Linked DNA regions of Tamandua tetradactyla. The protein of the gene in region 1 interacts with the protein of each later gene in a pairwise test. Links are inferred from orthologs where the notes say so. Each region holds a gene or a part of one and is shown on either strand. Other genes may lie near its edges.

Region 1 (7,027 bases):
CGAGCAGTCAGGGCCTCCAGTAGCCCACTAGGCTGGGCTCTCTCCCTGGGGACCTGCAGATTCCTTGCCCTCAACGCCAGCCACACCTGGGAGGGGCAACACTGCTGGGAACAGCTGACCAGTCCAGCAGCATCCCTGACCTCTCCACTGTCTCCTCTCGAGAACCACTGACCTAAAAGATATAGTGACAGTGGCCCTCACACCTCCACTCACTGCACTAGCCCAACTCTGTACAAGAGAATTAAGAGGAACAGACCCTAGCTAGGTGCAGCATGTGCACAGAGCATGTGGTGCAGCTGCTGGCAGGGGCATCCGCTTTATTCCAACCCAAAGAACATCAGGAGTGGCAAACCCTGGCAGACAGGCCCTGGCCAGCCATGAATGCCCAGAGATCGGGACACCTGCAGACCCCTCAGCGCCCACGCCAACCCTACACCTCGCACACCCTGCCTGCTGACCACCATGCTACAAGATGCAGGAGTTTAACAAGCCAAGGCCCACACGCCAAAGGAAATGGCAGCTGGTGGCATCTTCTACCTTCCAATCCAGAAAGAAACTCAACACCTGACGGGCCTCCCAGGATCTGGTGGCCTCAAGGAAAGGCCTACACAAGGTCACTTCTCTAGCCAACATACAGGAAACCACAAAAGACCACCAGAAGCAAAGCAAGCCCTGCTGGGGATGCATAGGCCACCTTGCTGTGCAAGACCTGGGAGCCGGCAGACCCCATAATTCTAGGGCATCTGTGGTGGCAACAGATGCTTGCAGTTTTTGGCAAACCTGTAAGAAAACCACCATACAGGTCGCTGAGACTCCAGAGCTGGGCTGTGCCAGCCCAAGCAGACAACTTCCTGCCTTTAAGGAAGATGGCTAGTGTGCCAGGGTGCTGGAGGGTCACCACCTCAGGTAGCTACACAGCCCTTGGAGCAAGGCTACTGGCTATGGTAACTGACCCTGACTGGCGGCAGCAGGCAGGGCTGCTGTGCCCCATGGGAGTGGTTGGTATATGGGGGTTCCACTTGGTTCTCTGAGACTGTAAGCAGAGGAGGGGGGCTTGGTAACCAGGAGCAGGACCCCATCAGCTGCCCAGGTCCAGCTATGAGACCAGGTGAGCAAGCGAGGCCAGCGGGAGGTGGGGGAGGGGCAAAGCCGCATGGAGCACAGTGACCTTTGGCAGTTTCTGAGCTGTCCCGTTGCTGCCCAGCTGTGGGAAATGTGTGGCGGACAGCCTAGTCGTTGGCTCCTCTGGGCTCTGCTTAGGCTGCGAAGAGCAACCTTGCTCAGGTCCCCCCTTCCCGGGCCTGGTCCAGGTGGTGATGTAAGGCCTGGCCGGCCTGGCCTGACCTGGGTCAACCATGAGGAGCAATTCTCAACCCCAAGCTCCTGCTGAGCAATCTCCCTGGCCCTTCTGGGATGTTCATCCAGTATACACACCCTACACCCTGCTTCCACCTAAGTGAGAACCCGCGTGGTATGGGGAAATAAGCCCCATGTGCCTCTGGTGCTCAGACAAGGTAGGCCCTTGGCTGGCGTCTGCCTCTGTCCAATGCATGGGGCCACAGTGCAGCGGTGCCCTCTGCCCAGGCGGTAGCTGCTGCCCTGCTCTCCTGGCAGGAGGGGGCACCTCTAAAGGAGCCCAGGCAAAGGTGACTGTGTGCCAGGCACTGGGGGTCAAACCAGAAATCAGTGCCTGGGCCTTAGCTCCCCACACGAGCACTAGGCATATCTGCCCCAACCCCACCAACCTGAGGGGAAGGGACCACTGAGGGAAGAGGCTGCATCTGTCCTGCTCACTGCTGGACCCCAGGCAAATCTGAAGAAAGATTCTACACCCCTTGTGGATTCAGTCCTGCACTGTGGGACTTGAAATGCCCAAAACCCATGCCAAAGGAAGAGGCAGTGCCTGTATGGGGAAGACCCCCGGGGAACAGGCCCTGGTGACCTAGGCTGGGGACACAGGAGAGGGAGCTGGAGCCCACTGGAGGACACCCAGAGCCCAGGCCCTGCAGTTCAGCACCCGACAGGCTTTGCAACCCTCATGGGGCCCTAGGCATCTGCTGTCTGCTTCCTGTGGTGATTGGCCACAAGATCTCTAAACCGAAAGAAACCCAGGCCTTCCTCAATTTTGGGGGGAAAAAAGAAAGAAGGCTGGGTCCTGGGCCTTCCTGAGGGAAGGAAAGGAACGATGGATACTGTCTTCAGAGAAAAGGCGTGCGGGGCAGTCAGGAGTGCCCCTGAGTCCCTGAAGAAAGCCTTACCTTGTCCCATAGAGACTGCAGTTCTTCCTGTCCCCCCAGGTCCCAGAACATGAGACGAGCTTTTCCCACGTCCACAGTGCCGACTGGGAGAGGAGAAAGAATGAAGCTCGTGATCTTGACGCTGGAAGCCCCACATCCTGGCTCCCCTGCTGACAGAGCAAATCCCCACGGGCTACCTGACGGGGGCCCAGCCCGGCTATGGTCATCCTGGCGCCCCCAGCAACTCAAACCCATACCCTAAGGGCTTACTGTTCAGGCCCACAGTGGTTGTGATCTTGGATAAACTCATTCCTTTGTAGTTCTTGTTAAACCGCGTTTTTGACTGCTCCAGAAAGGTCTGAGGAGGGAGGACAGATCTGCGTTAGATGAAGGACCTGAGCAGTTTGCCAAGCCCGTTTCCCAACTATCTCTTCTCGAAACTTTCCTCAAAAAAACAAGCCAGCACCTCCACTCTTAGATTAGGGGTGACCTTCCTGTGAGCGTTAACAGGGTTTGGATTCCATTTGGATGGTGAATGTAGAGCTGAAGGTAGAAACCCAAAGGAAGAAACACTGGGGGAGACGGGAAAGAGAAACAAGCGTGTACCGTCTTTCCAGCATTGTCCAGGCCCAGGATCAGGATGCAGTACTCATCCTTCTGAAACATGTACTTGTACAGGCCCGAAAGCAGCGTATACATTCTGCCCCTGGGACACCCCAAGAGATAAGTCAGTAAGACATGGGGGTGGTTTGACCCGTTCCGTTCCTTACTCCCCCGGGTTTCCCCACCTTGGTAAATGGTACCCATTTGTCCTGCTGACAGCTCCAACCAGGATCTTAAGGGTGGCTCCTGATTCCCCACCCCAACTCCCTTTATTTCTAAGTCCCACTGGCTCTGCCTCCATAATCTCTCCCAGTTGTCTGGCTTCTCTCCATCTCCACCACCACCAGCTTTTCCTGGACCACCCCCTACTTCTTCACTCCTGCCTCCCACTCCCATTCCACTCACAGCAGTGACTGTGAACTCGGTTCCAGGCCCCCCTGCATCCTCACCCCACCCCCTTCCCCTTGCTCACTGAGCCCCGCCTCCCCTTAAGGCTCCACTTGTGCTCAGCTCTTCGTGCACAGGGAACAGGGACACACTTGCCCAAACTGGATATCCAAGTCTGGACAGCCAGATCGTTCTTAAAATTGAGCATGTGTGAGAAGGAGGGATTCACTAAGCAGCAGGAGCCACCGAAGGCTTTGAGGTGGGGCTCCCCATTCTCTAAGCTCCAGGGGTGGCTTTGCAGCGACAAGAGAGGCTGCGATCTCAGCCCACCCGAGGTGGACCTAGAGGTGGCGGTGGGCAGAGGGGATGGGCCCGGCCGGGGGCAGACTTCTGCGGAGGAGATCCCCCCAGGCCCACAGTCCGTCTCCCGGTAGTCCCGCACTTTGGACACCGAGTTTCCAAACTCTTGGGCAAACAGCCTAACAGACGCTCCCACGAGCGACACCCTCGCCTTGGGCGGGCGCCCCCTCCCGCGACCTCACCCCCCACGTCCGCGCCGCGCCGCTCGGGGCAGAGGGCGGCCGCGGCCCCTCAGGAGGGCTCCAGGCGGCGGCGATACAGTCCCTGGCCCACCTGCCTCCGCCCCGGGCCTTGGACCCGCTGCGGCTGCCGCCGGGACCTACGCGCGCTGACCCCGAGCCTAACCCCGCGCGGCGCCTGCTGGGACGAGGCCCGGCCGCCAGAGGAAGGGCGGAGCCGCGTAGAGCCCCGGCGGCCCCCGCGCGCCGCACCCGGCAACCCCCGCGCCGGGCACTTCCGGCGGCCTCGGCGCTCGGGAGGAAGTGCTGTTCGGCTGCGGGGGCGGAAGCAGGGCTGCCGGCTGTAGCCGGTGAGGCCGGCGGGGCTCTTTATGGCGGCGGCTGGATAACAGCGGGGAGAACGGACCTAGAAGAGAAGGTGGGGGCTTTTCCCGGGTGGAGCGGCCGGGGCCTGGGCCCGGGTCCGGTCCCGGTCCCGGTTCCGAGGTCGAGCGGCGGTGGGTGGTAGGAGCCTGAGGGGTCTGGGCAGAGAATGGAGTCGGGCCCGAAAAGAGCCCAAGGGATGGGGGGGCGACTCTGAGGAGGACTGGGCGGAGGGAGTCGGAGGACTGGGTCGGGTCGGGGGCGTAGGCAGGGGCGGGCCCGAGGGGAAAAGGCTTTTAGATTCTCCGGTCACCCCGCTTGGGAGAGCCCTGAGCACAGGGCTGAGAGTAGATGCAAAACACCACGCGGAGAAACCGGATCAAGCGTGACAGCAAAAGGTCGGTAGGCCTTTAGAGGGAAAGGCAGACCTGGACTGGGGAGGACAGCGGCTACGGAGCCCGGCCCCAGGTCTTCACCGGCCAGCTATGCCTTGGGCGGGTTCCTTAAGCTTTCTGAGCCTGTGTTCTCATCTTTGAAAAGGGAGGACGCACCGTACACCTTTTGGCAGGCTGTTGTATTTTATGGCATCGGTGTAAAGCTTTCAGCACAGAACATGGTTAACAGCCCATGTCCAGTACACCGCAGCCTTCAGGGTTTGCTTTAGAATGAGGGCCTCAGACTCCTGAGGCTCAGCTGCCTTCGATTTCTTGCAACTCTGGCTTCTGCAGCTTCCTCTCGAGGACTCAGGGACCCGCACCTGCCCTAAACCCAAAACCAACCAGCCTTCTATAGGATGGATGAGGAGAGCCTGGAGGCGGCTCTTCAGACCTATCGTGCCCAGCTGCAGCAGGTGGAGCTGGCCCTGGGAGCTGACCTGGATTCATCTGAGCAGGCAGACTTGCGCCAGCTGCAAGGGGACCTGAAAGAGCTGATTGAACTAACTGAGGCCAGTCTGGTGTCTGTCAGGAAGAGCAAGCTGTTGGCCACACTGGATCAAGTGCACCCATCCCAGGAAGATGCTGAATACATGGCTTTCCAGAAGGCTGTTGCTGAGGTAGTAGAGGTGCCAGCAGCCCCAGAGGCAGAATTGGAGACTGTTCCTAAAAGAGAGGCAGGGCCAGAACCCAAAAGACTTGGGCAAGAGGAGGAAGAGGGGAAGGACAGTGACAACGAGGAAGAGTTAAGTGGGACAAAAGTGAACGCCCCCTACTACAGTCCGTGGGGCACCTTGGAGTATCACAACGCCATGATTGTGGGCACAGAGGAGACAGAGGACGGCTCCACAGCTGTCCGGGTACTCTATCTCTACCCCACGCACAAGGCCCTGAAGCCCTGCCCGTTTTTCCTGGAGGGGAAGTGCCGATTCAAGGAGAACTGCAGGTAAAGCTCTTGGTGCTTGGGGTCCCATGGCTATAGGATATGAGGGGCATGCAGGGAAGGTCAGGGTTGTAATCAGTCCTGGCCAGGTTACTGGCAAGAAGAGAGCTTTTTCTTTTCCTTTTTTTTTTTTTTTGACAGGGGGAGTCATTTGCCCAGAGTCACTCAATTGGGAAGGGGTGGAGGTGGGCCTGGACCTATGTGGTGAGTCTGCATCTGGCTGTGCCACCCATTGCTGTCTAGGCAACTGATGATAATCTAATCTTTTTAAAATCACATGCTCCTTTGACCTTTGTGCCCAAAGGACTTTTTCTTTAAATTCCAGTGGTTTTTCTGGGCTACATCTTGCTGTGGATCATTCTGAATCCATATTCTTAGAAGCATAGTGCCCTTTCAATATGTAAGGTTTTGTTTGTTCAGAGAAGTTGAGGATTTACAGAAGAGTCATGCACCAAATTCAAGGTTCCTGTATACCACCCTATTAAAAAATAGAAACGGCTTCACAAATTTGCATGTCATCTGTGCGCAGGTGCCTTCCTAATCTTCTCGTCATTCCAATCCTTAGTGTGTGTACTGCCAGAGGGAGCACAATCTGCAGTTTCAGATCTTTTTTATCTCAGGAAAGTTTTTTCTAATTAGTTTTTAGTATGTGTTTAGGTATCTCTGTTTATTGTTCTTTACTTGTCTTTTAATATTTGTGACTTCTTTATCAATCTTTTTATTTGCTTTTTTAGTTTTTTCTCTTTTTAAATTTTGTTTTTTCTCACCAGTCTTTTTTATCTCCATTTCTTTTTGATAAAATTTTAAGAAATTCCTCTTTTTTTAAGAAAATTCCTTTTTTTCCCTTAAGTCATTGTTTGTCATATTTATTTGCTCTTGTGCATGTTCTAATTCAGTTTTTATTTCTAAAGTGGAGTTTTTCTTCCTAATTCTTTTAAAAATTCTGTCATTTCATTTCTAAATTTTCCTAATTGTGATTTATGCTAGTCTTTAAAGTTTTGTATCGTATTCTTGATGTCCTTTCATTGTTTTTTTTTAATTTTTAATTTTTGGGTGCATGGTCTGGGAATCGAACTCTGGTCTCCCGCATGGAGGTGAGCATTCTACCATTCTGTGGGGTTTTTTGTTTTTTGTTTTTTGAGTAGTCCTCTTTAGTGAACATTCATTGTTTTTCTCTTCTCTTTTTTCTTGTAGCTTTATGTGGAATAAACATCAGTACTTTTCTGTTGCTCACTTTTATGAGAAATTAATTTTCCTGAACCTTTAGAAGAAAGTTTATTTAAGTAGCTTTTCTAGAGTCACAAAGCGCTCTCTTCTGTTATTTCTGTTTCCTAGAGTTTTGTTTTTTTTTTTATCGTTTCTTAATACATTTGCATCGGTTTAGAGGAACTAGAAACACAACAGAAAAAGATATAAAATGTTAATTAGAGAAAAGAAATAAAAGTAGTAATAATAGTAAAAAACAAACAAAAAAAACCCTATAGCTCAGATGCAGCTTCATTCAGTGTTTTAACATGATTA
Region 2 (7,547 bases), on another chromosome or scaffold:
TCTGGGCGGCAGGGGCCATGGCGGCTCTCGGGGTGGGAGGGCTCTCCCCATGGACCTCCCCTTTGGGGTCCCCCTTCCCTGGACCCCCGGGGACTTGCCTCCTAGTCAGCACCCACTGCCCCTCCTGCTGGAGGCACCCCAGGAGCAGAAACCCAGACACAGGTGGCAGCAGGCCACCCTCTCACCTCCCGTCCCCATGGCCCAGCACAGGGCGTGTCCTCAGGCCCTGAGATCAGGCGTCTGGCTGGGCCCCGCTCTCAGCCCTTGTCCCCCAAGCCCGGACCCTCTGGGACCCCCATGTAGCCTGGAGGCTGGACCCCTCAGCAGCCAAACTCGGGGAGAACCGGGCCGTGGGGCCCTCGCAGCACCTGTGCTCCTCTCCCCGGTTAATCCAAGCTGCCCTTCCCGGGTCCCTCGGGGTCAGGCTGGATGCTGGGACAGCCCCAGCCCCTAACCCAGCCCCTGGTGACGGCCTCTCTGCCCTCCTCCTGCCCTTCCCTGCTGGCGGAACCAGTCTGCCACTGGCAGTGTCGGCCCTGTGCAGGCAGGACCAGCTCTGCCCTGGCTGTGCAACCTCGGCCCATTCCCTGACCTCTCTGACCTGGAAGGGGGGCAAGTTCTAGAACACAGCACAGAGGATGGCTGTGGGGAGGTCTGTCGTCCATGTGCACAAACTGCTGAATTTTCACAAACCAAACCCACCTTTGCAAGAATTTAACCTGCCAGGGCCAGGCAGGGCCCCCTCCCTCACCTCAGGGTGAGCCCACCCCAGCCGGCCGCAGCCTCCTCTCCCAGGGATCTCACAGGAGGGCCATCGCAGGCTGTGCCCCTGACCTGGCTTCTTCCCCAAAGGGAGCCCCAGGCTGCCCTGACCCTTAGCTTTCCTGCAGCTGTGGAGGGAGGCTCAGGATAGTCCTCTTTTCCAGATGGCTATTGTAGAAGGATTGGAAATTTCAGAAAAGTGGAAGAAAGCCACGCGCCCCCCCCCCCCTTTGGCCGGTGTGCTCCTCTTGGCAGAATCGGGAACCCCTCTGCGCCCCACGCCCGCCTGCAGAGGTTGTGCGGACACTCCCTGTTCTTGTACCCCTCCTCGGCTGGTGGAGGGCTGAGGCCTTGGGGCTGTTGAGGTGGGAGATGGGTCCGTTTTTCTAATAACAGCTTCATGATGTACTTCTCACAGCCGTACAAGTTGCCCATTTAAACTGCACAGTTGGATGGGTTTTAGTGTATTCATGGCATTGTACAACTATCACGCAATTTTAGAACATTTCCATTATCCCCAAAATAAGTCCATGCCCATCAGCAGCCCCACCCTCACCCATTCCCCACCTTAGCCCCTGGCACAGGTTCCTTCTTGCTGAGAGGGGCTCTGAAGCCGCCACCCTCAGGCATAGCCCGGGGGGCACCTGTGAACCAGGTGGAGGAGATGAACAGGAAGCTCCGGCCAGGGACTAAATGGCTACCTAGCTGCGGGGTGTGGATAGGGAAATGGGGTGGGGGTGCCACAGGGCTCAGAGGAAGGACCATCTTCAAGCTATGGGGGCTCAAAGACACCCCCCCCCTAAAAAAGAGCTGTCCACTCTGGGATGGAGACAGTATGGGAGGGTGGCACGTCCCCAGAGGCTGGGGGTCCCAGGCAGGAGGCGTCATCCTCCAGTTGGTATTTAAGGGGATCTTGGGGTGCATGAGTGACTGGCAAGAGAGATACTATAGAAACCCCAGAGAGAGAGGTGAGAAATCAGGGCTGCAGGGCCCTGATGGGGAGCTGGGGGACCCTGGGAGGTGCAGTAGGGCTTGGTCCTGGGAGGGTGCTCAGGGTGGTGAGGTCTGAGCAGCCAGAAGTGCAGGGACTCGGGGCCCTGGCAGAGCTGATGTGGGTGGGCGGGGCCCAGGGAGTGGAACAAGGGGCTACTGGCCATGAGGTCCAGCCAAAAGCACCCGAGAGCCAGCTCCCTGCAACCTGGCGGTGGGGGTGGCACCGCTGCCTGCCCTTCCCCATTCGTCTGGGGCCTAGAGGGGCCGGGGTTTCCCCTAGACCCACACCTCTACTCAGCCCCAGGCCAATCTCTTTGTATCTTCCGCTGATGGGGGCTCTGCAGAGGCTGGCCCAGCTGCAGGGGAGCCCAAGTGGGGGGTCTGGGCAAAGCAGGCCCTAGGCTATCCCTGAGCTCCTGCCCGCCCTGATAATTTCCCAACTCAGGACTAGCACCCTCTGCTCCCTGTTGCCTCCTGGGGAGATGCTGGGAGGGGCCTCCTTGGACTTCTGCTGGGGATATTTAGGATGTCCAGGCTTGTCTTAGACCCTCCCCCACCCCTGCAATTTCCCAAGGGGTGGCTAGGCCCAGGCCTCCATCCCACTTCAGGCTGGGAAGAGAACTCACTGCCAACTCCACAACTGGGGACCTGCTGAACCCTTGGGCTCCTTCTTGGTCCCTGCAGCATCTCAGGCCTTTGCCACGAGGCTGATGGTGCGAGCGTGCCACAGCCAGCATGTTTCCCTATGTTGTGGCTTGTCAGGCACCCCATCACACAGGGGCGCACAGGGATGCTGCCTGCTCTCCCCTGCACCTGGGGACCTGTTTATGCCCCAACCCCATGCTGGGCCAGTGTGATCCACTCCCCAGCACCCAGCGCCCAGCAGTCTCCGTCCCCAAAACCAGGCTGGGGGCCATCTTCGCCCTGGAGGATGGGCATGGGGCTGCACCCTGGCACCCTAGTAGGCAGCCTCCCCCTCCTCCCCAGGCCATGTAGGCATTCTTTGCCCTATGTCTTATCCGAGAGCCAGACCAAATACTTGGCCTTTAGTTGTTCAACCCCAGCCCTGTTTTCTGGAGAGCAGGGGCAGCAGGGAGAGTCAGTCAAGGGCGTGTGCCCTATTGTCACAGAATTCCGAGTCCTAAGGAGTCAAAAAACACCTCCCCCCATCCTCATGCTGAGGAGACAGAGTAGGCAACGGGAGGGGTGGCGGGCAGTGGAGAACCGAGGGCAAGAGGAGAGAGGCCTGAGGGCTGGGGACAGAGAAGGAGGAGGCAGAGGCAAGGCTCGGGCAGGGCCCCCAGGTGCAGGGCCTTGGGCGGGTAGCGAGTGGTTTAGGTGCAGCAATGGTGGTGGGGCAGGGGAGACGGGAAAGGGGAGAGGTGCAGCCCCCCGGAGTCCCCACCAGCACCCCTGCGGGAGTGCGGACCCAGACGGCAAGCGCAGGCTTCCGTCCTGGCTGCGCCGCGGTCTGCCTATCATAGACCGAAGAAGAAAACGCGCGCCCCTTTTGAGAAACCCCACCGCCAGGCAGGCGAAGGAGTCGAGCTGCGGGGGAATGAATCCTGCGGTGGGGGAGAGCTGAGCTTCTCGAGGGGAAGCCCAGAGGAAGGGGCCCTCCCGGGAGCCTGCGGGCCGCTGCCCCAGGCGGGAGCAGCGAGAGGGTCGGGTTCCCGCAGTCCCCTTGGACCCAGTCCCGCTTCTCCGACGAGGCCAAGACAATCCCCTACCGGCCACAGAAGCCACCCGCCCCTAGCGCAGTGCCTGGTACCCCAAGGTAAACGCCCCTTCACAGGAGCAGTCCCGCCCCCCGTCTTAGGTGCAGCTCTTACGCCCTCCAGGAGCCCCAGGTACAGCCCTCCTTCCCCCAGGCCGCCCCCGTGTGCAGCCCTCCTTCCCCCAGGTCCCCCCCGCGTGCAGCCCTCCTTCCCCCAGGCCCCCACCCGTGCAGCCCTCCTTCCCCCAGGCCCCCCACCGCGTGCAGCCCTCCTTCCCCAGGCCCCCACCCGTGCAGCCCTCCTTCCCCCAGGCCCCCCCCCCCCCGCGTGCAGCCCCGTGCAGTCCTCCTTCCCCAGGCCCCCACCCCGTGCAGTCCTCCTTCCCCAGGCCCCCACCCCGTGCACCCCTCCTTCCCCCAGGACCCCACGCGTGCAGCTCTCCTTCCCCCAGGACACCCCGCGTGCAGCCCTCCTTCCCCCAGGACCCCACGCGTGCAACCCTCCTTCCCCAGGCCCCCACCCGTGCAGCCCTCCTTCCCCCAGGCCCCCCCCGCGTGCAGCCCTCCTTCCTCAGGACCCCACGTGTGCAGCCCTCCTTCCCCCAGGACCCCCGCCCCGTGCAGCCCTCCTTCCCCCAGGACCCCCGCCCCGTGCAGCCCTCCTTCCCCCAGGACCCCCCGCGTGCAGCCCTCCTTCCACCCATGAGCAGTCCTTGTGCACCCCACCCGGCTCGGAAAGCTCATAAGCTCCCCTTGGGGTTAGGAGAGCCGCCGCCGGGGGACCTGGCGGAGGGAGCGAGTGTAGCCCCCGGGCTCTCCCGGCGGCCGAGCCCCCGAGCCCCGGAGCTCCTTCCCGGGCTCGCCCAGGGGTAGGTGGAGAGGCCGGGGCCTGCAGCGAAGTGTCGGAGGTTCCACGGCCCGAAGAACCCGGCAGGGTTGGGTTCGGCCCCTCCCCATAGGCCCCCTCCTGGTCGACTGCGCCCCGCTCCCCCACGGACTCGTCGGCGCCTGCGCGCGGGAGGGCGCCGGAACCCGGGGCCCGGACCTAAGTTTCCCCTCGGCGGGACCCGAGCGCTGTACCGAGCGCGCCCTGGGCTGGGCGGGCCGACGGGATTGCTATGGCGACGCGGCGACGCTGGGAGCCGCTCGGGGCTGGCATTCCGGGTAGGACCCGGGTCGCGGGACCCCGGGCGGGAAACTTGGGAGGGCGCGGTGGGGAGAGGCGCAGGGCGCCGACCCGCCCCCCTCTCGGCCCCGGCCGGTCCTCGCGGCTCGTGACTTTCCGTGGAAATCCGGCGTTGGCGCCTCAGCGCTTGATCCCCTCGGGCCGAACCCGAGGACTTGCCGTCACCCGCCGAATGGGGGTGATCGTTCTCAAACTGCTGGGACGGGCTTGGCCCGCGCGAGGCGCCTCGCCGTCTTTCTCCCCGCGGCACCGCCGGCACTCCTCCCTGCGTTGACGCGGTGAGGCGGGACGACCGGGCACGACCCTCCCGGGGCGCCAGGCCCCTCTCTCGGGCTCTGCTTCCATGGCTGGGCCTGGGGCCTGATGAGCCGGGCTCCGAGAAGGGACACCTCCCCGCGGCCCCCAGCCAGGAAGGAGGGATTCGAACCTCGGCGCTCCGGCTCCCCGGGTTGATTTTTTCGTTTGTTTGGTTTTTTAAAGGTGCAAAAACAGTACAGAGAACTCGCCTGTCCCTTTTACCAGGTTCCCCAAAACAAACCCGGACATCAGCATTGGCAGAGTGCAGTAACGGTCCGGGATCCTGCACCCCATTCCGCTGCCTCCTTTTGTTGTTGTTCTTTAATCTGGGTCAGTTCCTTGGGCTTTCTTTCATGACTGAAAGGTTTTAAGATATGAGGTTTTTGAGAGAAAGGAAGGTAGACGAAATGATTTTAAGTGAGCGTGGTTTATTGGCTGCGCTCTCGGGCAGAGCTCACCGAACCCAAGTTGGAGTGAGGTGAGTCCGCGCACGGCTTTGGCGAGTGCAGTTTTTAAGGGCAGGGGTTAGGTGATGACATGAAAGGGGCGGCACATTAAACTAAGGAGTATTATGCTAGTGGGCTGAGCAGCGGGCGGTCAGATGTCCGTGGAGCAATGAGTGAGCCGATGTTTGCTGCGTAAAGATCTTTGTTGTAACAGTTCACCTCCGGTTCCGAAGTGACTTCATGAGTCCAGCCATTGAGCCCTCCCGTATTCCCCCGACCTAACAATGACCTTGACGTTTTTGAAGGGTTCTAGCCAGGTATTTTATCGAATGCCTTGCAAATGGAGTTTGTCTGATGTTTCCCCAGGGTTAATGTAAAGTTCTGTATTTTTGGAAAGAAAAACCTCAAAATTGAAGTTGTATCCTTCAGGCTGGTGATGCAGGGTTGTCCCTTTACTGTCTTGATAAAAGTGGTGTCTGCCAGGTTTCTCAATTGTAAAGTAACTATTTTAACCTTGCAAATAAGAAGTGTCTCGTGTTTGTTTGCAGGGATACGTTGAGACCTGTAAATATCATTTCTACAACTGGTGTTAGCATCCTTAGGTGAGTCTTGCCTGAAATGTGGTATTTGCGAAGTGGTGGTTTTCTATTTCCATCATTCCTTCCACATTTATTAGTTGGAATTTTATTGTAAGGAAAAACTTCCCTTTCTCCTTCCCTTATCTATTTATTTAGTTTTTTTTTCCATGTTAGTATGCACTCATATATTTTTACTCCATGGGCTATACTCTTTCATGATTGTTTATTTATTTATTTTATTTTTTATTTTTTCCATTTAAAAGAGGGATCACTTTGTTTATTCAGGAAACCCCCACCTTTTCATTTACGTAGATTAATAAGTTTCATTTGGGGGGATTAATAAGTATAAGTTTTTTAATTATACAGCTTGATTGCATTATTATTTTTTTATTAATTAAAAAAAATTAACACAACATTTAGAAATCATTCCATTCTACATATGCAATCAGTAATTCTTAATATCATCACATAGATGTATGATCATCATTTCTTAGTACATATGCATCGATTTAGAAAAATAGCAAGACAACAGAAAAAGAAATAAAATGATAATATAGAGAAAAAATAAAAATAAAAAATACAAAAATATATAAGAAAAAAAACAACTATAGCTCAGATGCAGCTTCATTCAGTGTTTTAACATAATTACATTACAATTAGGTAGTATTGTGCTGTCCTTTTTTTTTTTTTTTTTTTAGAAATTATACCATTCTGCATATGCAATCACTAATTCTTAACATCATCACATAGATGCATGATCATCATTTCTTAGTACATTTGCATCGGTTTAGAAGAACTAGCAATATAACCGAAAAAGATACAGAATGTTAATATAGAGAAAAAAAATAAAAGTAATAATAGTAAGAACAAAACAAAACAAAACAAAACAAAACAAAAACCTATAGCTCGGATGCAGCTTCATTCAGTGTTTTAACATGATTACTTTACAATTAGGTATTATTGTGCTGTCCATTTTTGAGTTTTTGTATCTAGTCCTATTGCACAGTCTGTATCCCATCAGCTCCAATTACCCATTATCTTACCCTGTTTCTAACTCCTGCTGAACTCTGTTACCAATGACATATTCCAAGTTTATTCTCGAGTGTCGATTCACATCATTGGGACCATACAGTATTTGTCTTTTAGTTTTTGGCTAGACTCACTCAGCATAATGTTCTCTAGGTCCATCCATGTTATTACATGCTTCATAAGTTTATCCTGCCTTAAAGCTGCATAATATTCCATCGTATGTGTATACCACAGTTTGTTTAGCCACTCGTCTGTTGATGGACATTTTCGCTGTTTCCATCTCTTTGCAATTGTAAATAACGCTGCTATAAACATTGGTGTGCAAATGTCCGTTTGAGTTTTTGCCCTTAATTCCTTTGAGTAGATTCCCAGCAATGGTATTGCTGGGTCGTATGGCAATTCTATATTCAGCTTTTTGAGGAACCGCCAAACTGCCTTCCACAGTGGTTGCACCATTTGACTTTCCCACCAACAGTGGATAAGTGTGCCTCTTTCACCGCATCCTCTCCAGCACTTGTCATTTTCTGTTTTGTTGATAA
Region 3 (7,214 bases), on another chromosome or scaffold:
TACACAGACTTTCTGGGCTTTTTCCTTTCTGTCTTACACTCTCCCCACTTCACTTTTATTTCCTGGGGTTACCTTCTTCATTAGTCAGGGTTCTCTAGTGAAACAGAACCAACAAGAGAGATCTGTAAATATGAAATTTATAAAGGTATCTCATGCAACTGTGGGAATGGAAGAGTCTAAAACCCACAGGACAGGCTGTGAAACTGGTGCTTCCAATGAAGGGTCTAGACAAACTCCACAGGAGAGGTCCGCTGACTAAAGAAGCAGTGAAAAGGTTTCTCTTCTCCCTTAAAAGGGTCTTCAACTGTTTGGATTATCTCATTGGTGGGAGACACACTTTAGTTGATCACAGATGTAATCAGCCCCAGAAAATAAACTGGCTGATGATTTAATATAACAGCCTTCTGGTTTATCAACTAGCCATGAAATATCTTTACAGTAATGGTCAGGCCAGTGCTTGCCTGACCAGACCACTGGGCATCACTACTCAGCCAAGTTGACACCTGAACCTAACCATCACAGTCCACCCCTTGTCAACCTGGCAGCTATGTACGTCATCTTGAAACACGCTTAATTTCCAAATAGAACACAATAACAGACACATTTCATCTAACAATACTTGACTGTCCTTCGCATAAACGGAAATGCACTATGTCTCCCCAGAATAGGCTGCAAGTCCTTAGGTAACTTAAACTTCATTTCCTATGGCTTAAATACTATAAATGAACAGTACAACTTATGTCCTATGATAAGAGGAAAACAAGGTATTTGCTTATGTACAAATGCAAACATACTCATAGCAAAATAGGGAGGAAATATTCATAAAATCATAGTCCTCGTTTCTATAACTGGTCATGTGGTTGTGGTTCATATTTATCACTACCATTTTATACTATCCATTCCCTGTTCCCTTTACCCACAGCAAGCACTTCAGCTAGTTGCGGTTCTTTACCAGGTGGGTTGACCCAAATCTTCATTCCTGAAGTTTCTGGGCCATTGGTAGAACTTCCTGGATTGGGTTGTTGCAGTTTTCCATTGACTTTAATCACAGGGCATGGTACTACTAAGAGACGCCCTAGGGATCTCCTGTATTCCAGGAAAACTCTTCTTTACTTCCGTTGTGTAGCTGCAGTCCTATTTCCCCTGGATAGTCAGGGTCAATCACTTCAGACAGATCAGTAATACTTTTTTGTGCCTGTTGATTCAGTGGCATGAGAAACCCAATGTGGCCAGAGGCAGTCTTAACTTTCAGTTCAATGGAATCATTGTTATGCCTCCTGGTAGGAGCACTCCTCCTTTAGGAACTAAGACCTGTAGATCAGCAGAGCTTAAGGTTTCAGGGACATGAAACAAAAATTTTTCTAGTGGATCACTAGGGGTGATCGTGAGTAGTGCCACTCCTATTTCCTCCCCTGGATTCCTTGACCCATGAATTCTGGCTATGGGAGAAACAGCACCACAGAATTGATGCTGATTCAGAGTACACAGCCTACTGAAGAACACTGCCCAAGCCCTGCAAGGTATTGCCACATAGTTGGCCCATAATGGGGTCTTCAAAGAGTCATTCCACAATTCTATCAACCCAGGTAACTCTGGATGATGGCGAACATGGTAAGACCAGAGAATTCCATGAGCACAAGCCCATTCCTGCACTTCATTTGCTGTGAAGTGGGTTCCATGATTAGAAGCAATGCTGTGTGAAATACCACGACTGTGGATAAGGCATTCCATTGCTGTTCCATCTGGTGAGTAGGATTAGTTGCTCCAGACAGAGGAGTGAGGGCTGTTTCCCCAGGGGAGGTGGTTTCAGGGTTAGCAGGCACTGAAGGGTTAATCTCATTAGGTGGAGGTCAGATGGAAGACTCCTCTGGGCAGACTGGAGATCAGGAAGTTGTTTTCCTCAGGGCAGCGTAAAGGTCAGCAAGCTTTTCCCTCAGGGTAGTCCATTACAGGTCTATCTAGCAAAAGCTTAGCAGATTTCAGGGATTCCGTCTCCCCATTGCCATCATTATCAAACCATATATTCCCATCCACATTTCAGGATCCCATTCTTTTCCAGTTAAAGTCCTTACTTTAACAGCAGACACCCTGCAATGTTGAGATTTTAAGCTTACATGATAATCTGCTACTTGCACAAAGAAGCTCTGTATTTGGTTTGCAGAGATCTCAAGTGTGTGACCATAGGAAAAAAATTTTCTTTCAGGATACACATGGAAACTTTTACATCATTCATATGGTGCTTAATTTGCAAATTTGAATCCTTCAAGCTCATCCCTTTCCCTCATCACTGTATCTAGCATATCTAACAACAAACAGCCAATATCATTACACCTTTTAATTCCACAAAACTACATAAAGATGTTAAAAACACTCTCACCCAGAGTCTTAGCTCATATAAGCATACAATTAGCAGAATCTAATGGTGATATTTTGCATATCTCTCTTACCAATTCACCCAATGGACTGCCATCTTGATTATTGGAAACAGAGTCAATAGTGCCTCTGAGTCTAACCTGAGTATAAATACAATTGTAAAAATCCATTTTTAAGATTTTCTTTCCAAAAACCACTCCTAGTTTCAAGCTTTATCAGTCAGGGTTCTCTAGAGAAACAGAACCAAGAGAAGATACCTGTAAATATGAGATTTATAAAGGTGTCTCATGCAACCGTGGGAATGGATGAGTCCAAAATCCGTAGGGCAGGCTGTGATGCTGGCAGCTCCAGTGAAGGGTCTGGACAAACTCCACAGGCGAGGCTCACTGATGAAGAAATGGTGAAAAGGTATCTCTTCTGTCTTAAAAAAAAAAAAAAAAAATCCTCATTTGATTGGATTATCTCATTGGTGGGAGATACGCCTTAGTTGATCACAGATGTAATCACCACACATGTAATCAACTGACTGATGATTTAATAGACCAGCCCTCTAGTTTATCAACCAGCCACAAAATATCCTTACACAATGGTTAGGCCAGTGCTTGCCTGACCAGATGACTGGGCATCATCACTTGGACAACTCGACACCAGGTCCTAACTATCACATCTTCTAAACAAATTACCAGAACCGAAGTCCTTGACTTAGGCTTTGCTTTTGAGGAACCCAAATGAAGATACTACCTAACTAAATGGCAAATTCTTTAGAGACAACACTGGCCTATGTGATCTGTATGATAGCCACATTGAACGTTTTGTAGTTTTGCTGCTGATGTTCCTTACTTCCACACTTCTGTGTCTCAGGTCATGCTTCTCCCTCTGCTTGGCACACTTTCTCCCCTTTGCCTGGCTGACACCTGTTAGTGTATCCATTTCTCTGTGAAGTCTTCACTGACAATTCCTCTCCTTTCCCTGACCCTCTACAGCTTAGAGTTCCATGTCTACGATCCCATAACACTTTAAATGCTAGTTAACCTCCATCAGCGCCATTATCTCTTTTCCATTGTGAGCTCCTTAAGAAGAGTCTACCTAGCAAGGTACTTGTAGCAAAATTAGGTGCTCAATAAAACTGACAGGAATGTGCCGGAATGAACTGAAGGAGTCATTTTTCATACAGGAAATATTTACTGAGGACCTACTTTGTGAAGAAGAGAGAATAATGCATATAGCATGGTAAACTCTAGGACAGAGTAATGCACAGTGACTGTGGGAGGACAGAGTAGGTCAGAAAAGGCCTATGCTAGAGCTTGGCATAACTGTCTTAAGAGGATAATGGCAGTTTGCCACGGGAAGGTGGGAAAGGGTATTCTAGCTATACCAAGAAAAAGAGAAGCCTTTTCTAGAATTGGGGGCTGGTGCTGCTGGAGAGCGGTGCAAGAGAAGGAACTCTGTGGGCCTGGGCGTGTTGAGCATAGAGGGGTATAGAGGTAGTGACTCAGTGCATTTCAGTTAAAGACGAAAGTCACCCAGCACCTTGATAAGGGCCAGGCATGCCTGGGGGAGAAACGTTTTAAAATAATAAAAACCTGTCCCCAGCTCCCAAAGTTCTGTAAAACCCACAGAAAACCATACAAAATGCCATCGAGCAGACCCGGTCCCGACGCCCCAGAGGCAGTTGAGCATGCTCAGACGCTGGGACACGGTGGCTCCCTTGCGGGGTAGACGCTTAGCAGAGTCCTAGCAGGAGCGGCGCCTGGTCCTGGAAGGAGACTCGCGCCGCGGGGGCGGGGCCTTGGTACGCACGCTCCCTCCCAGCCCGCCCCCTCACTTCCAGCAGCTCGCGGGCCTCTGACTAGCCTGCCGCCGTTGCCCTGGCAACCGTCGCGCCGCGTCTTCCTAAGAGAGCTCCTGTCAGCCCGCTGAGCCCACCGCCCGCTCCCCCCTGCCCTACGGTCTTCGCGTGGGTCTGAGGCGGAGGGACAACAAAAATGGCGGAGAGGAGCCTAACGGCGCCCGAGGCAGGTCTGTGCGGGCGGTAGAGCAAGGGATGTCTGAGGCAGCATGGCTGTCTTGGGCCTGAGGGGACAGGGGACTCAGGCAGGGCCCTATTCTTGAGAAGGACCCTTAGTGCAGTAGGCCTGTGACCTGGAGGTCAGGGGTCAAGGGAGGCATATACCTTTCTGAGTGATGGGCAGAGACTCAGGGGTCCCGGTGGCGGAGAAGGTGTTTGTGTTTCTGCGTGCGTGCTCACACACACACACACACACACACACACACACACACACACACACACACACACACACACACTTCCGAGGGAGTATGAGCTAAGAAAGGTCAGGAACCCTAGGGAAGGCACAAAGCCCCATCGTGAGGGGTCCCTGTGGTGGGAGGAGTTCCAGGGGTAGGCTACCTCATGGAGAGGGTCTACACAAGCCTGTGGGAGTGTGAAGGGATCCCTAATGGGGTATACTTTGGGGGAGGGGGGCTCTGATTCTGAGGAGGCAGGTGTATGTGGTGGGCTTGTTACCTTAATGTAAGGCAGTGTCATGGAATGGGGTTCACTCAACCCCGAGTATGTGTGTGTTGGGTAGGTGTAGTGTCCTTCGAATCTCCCCTGGTCACAGAGAAAATGTGCAAGTCCCGGTATGGGGTCTTAAAAGGACAAGAGACTTGGGAGAGCCCCAGAGCCCCAGTCCTTTGGGAATCTACCTAAGAAAGCTGAAGCCTCAGTATGAGTGTATATAGGATCAGTGATCTTGAAGGTCATTCAGATTCACAAAAGGAATGCATGACCACATCTTTGTGGGTGGAAGAAAGTTTTGAAGGAGGTAGGGAGACTGATAGGGATATTCAGGATCCTATTCCTGAGGGGATCCTTGTAGGTATGGCTGGGTTTGGAGATAAAGGGACCTAATGTGTCTTACAGGGTTGTAGAAGAGAGGAATGTTTTTTCACAGTCCTGTGAATTTGAGAGGGAGTTTGTTTCCAAAAGGGGATTGGGACTGAAGAACTAGAGCCTCAGTACAGAGGGATGTCATTTGTGTATGTGTTGAAAAGCAGTGGCTTTAGGAGTATATGTGATAGTGGTGGTCGCAGTGGTATACAAATCTTGTATATGTGTCCTGATTTGGCATTGTGGTTGCAAAATGACCCACTTGAATTACGCAAGTCCTGGAGGTTTGGGTAGGGGGCTGGTTATGGTAAGGCTATATAAGGATTGTAACTGGAAACTGTATGAAGCCATCAGAAATGGCTCAAGGGACTATTATCTCTCAATGCCTGCATGATCACTTTCTGTCATGGGCTTTTTTGTGGGAGCATGGCATGGTTAGAATTATTTAAAAAAAATAACTGATCATGATGTGAACACAGAGGATGCAAGAATGGATATTGGTAGACCTGTTGGAAGGTAGTAGTAGAGAAGGAGAGAAGGAATTGAGAAATATTGAGGAGATAATAGAATTTATTGAAAGATGGGGATGAGGGAGAAGGAAGTATCAAGGATTACTTCTAATTTTTTAATTTGTGTAACTTGACAGTTGGTGTGCCATTATTAAGACAGAGAGCACTGGAAGGAGATGTAGGCTAGTTTGAGAAGGAAAAGCAAGAGTTTGGTTTTGGACAAATGGAGTTTGAGGTATTTTTGAGACATTTAAATAAGTGGAGAGATTGAAAAGGCAGTTGAGTTTTCAAGAAAAATCTAAGCTATTGATTTTGGCATAGAGGTGATTACAAGCCATGGGTGTAGATGAAATCACCCAGAGGGAGAATGTCAGAGGCCTGGGATGAAGTGTTGAGTGGCTGCAATATTTAAACGCCTCCCAAAGACACTAAGAAGGTACACCCTGAGAGGTAAAAGAACAACCAAGAAAATATTTCAAGATAAATGGAATATCCAACATTTTGAATGCTCCTGAGTGATTTAAAATGTAGCCTGAAAAATTAGATTTAGCAACAAAGAGGTCATTGGTGACCTTGATGAGAGGAAATTGATGAGGGTAGAAGCTTGCTCATTTTGCGTCTGAACTACTATTAACTGTCTCAATCTTTGTTTTGTAATTCAGACTCCAAAAAGAGAATTTGATTAACATATATCATCTTTTCCTAGCAGATCATGTCATGGATGCAGGCCAGTGTAGGATTGACTGCCTTTGAGTTAGGGGCCCAGTTCTGGCTGGGTGGTATAAAATATGGCCATCTGGTGATTTCTTGTCTCAATAGCAATAGCTAACATTTATGGAATTTTTATTATATAACAGACATTGTACTAAGTGTTTTATATATTTTAATCCACTTCAGCCTCATAACAATTCTCAAAGGTATTACCTCTACTTTATTTGTGATGTTTTGGCACAGAGAGTTTAAGCTACTTGTTCAAGATCTGCAAAGAATTAATTTAAGATTTTTGTTTTCCATACTATTTTAACATTATCCAGATACATTATTTGTTTTTCTGTTTGAAATTATGACATATTATATACTGAAGGAATCATAGCCATGATGAAAATTCCTCCCTTACAGGAAATATATATCTACTAAGCATGGTCTAGAAAGGTGAAGTGGGAAGAACTGGGGCTCATATTCTTGTTTAAATCCTGGTTCTATGACTTCTGCATGTGGACCTTGGGCTCAACTTTTACGATCTTCAGTTTCCTCATTTGTATAATAGGGATTATATTTGCAGGGTCGTTGTGAATATTAGAGGTAATATTTTCTTAGTTCTGCTGCTTGAATATAAAAATTCCAAATGTTTTGTATACATTTATAAATACAAACCTTAGACAATACAATGATTAATATAACAGTTCCCCACCCCCATTTCTCTTAATTGAAATAATTGATTT

What was found. The genes of interacting proteins can lie anywhere in the genome.
Region 2: the proteins of ZGPAT (region 1) and CCDC57 interact in binary tests that used the Homo sapiens proteins (3 or more experiments, as listed by UniProt). The two-hybrid records come from large-scale screens. The link is inferred for Tamandua tetradactyla from reciprocal best matches to the Homo sapiens genes ZGPAT and CCDC57.
Region 3: the proteins of ZGPAT (region 1) and BEN domain-containing protein 5 interact in binary tests that used the Homo sapiens proteins (3 or more experiments, as listed by UniProt). The two-hybrid records come from large-scale screens. The link is inferred for Tamandua tetradactyla from reciprocal best matches to the Homo sapiens genes ZGPAT and BEND5.

Annotation. Positions count from the first base shown.
Region 1 is NC_135327.1:61,163,106-61,170,132, forward strand, and holds the start of ZGPAT (zinc finger CCCH-type with G patch domain-containing protein), read left to right. Parts: upstream 1-4,024; 5' UTR 4,025-4,184; intron 4,185-4,857; 5' UTR 4,858-4,922; coding exon 4,923-5,509; intron 5,510-5,990; exon of another isoform or gene 5,991-6,095; intron 6,096-7,027. Other genes in the region: ARFRP1 (ADP-ribosylation factor-related protein 1), read right to left, coding at 2,259-2,341, 2,508-2,595, 2,844-2,936. UniProt on the Homo sapiens protein: Transcription repressor that specifically binds the 5'-GGAG[GA]A[GA]A-3' consensus sequence. Represses transcription by recruiting the chromatin multiprotein complex NuRD to target promoters.
Region 2 is NC_135332.1:74,526,331-74,533,877, reverse strand, and holds the start of CCDC57 (coiled-coil domain-containing protein 57), read left to right. Parts: upstream 1-4,534; 5' UTR 4,535-4,590; coding exon 4,591-4,636; intron 4,637-7,547. UniProt on the Homo sapiens protein: Pleiotropic regulator of centriole duplication, mitosis, and ciliogenesis. Critical interface between centrosome and microtubule-mediated cellular processes. Centriole duplication protein required for recruitment of CEP63, CEP152, and PLK4 to the centrosome.
Region 3 is NC_135328.1:172,554,231-172,561,444, forward strand, and holds the start of BEN domain-containing protein 5, read left to right. Parts: upstream 1-4,201; 5' UTR 4,202-4,358; coding exon 4,359-4,392; intron 4,393-7,214. UniProt on the Homo sapiens protein: Acts as a transcriptional repressor.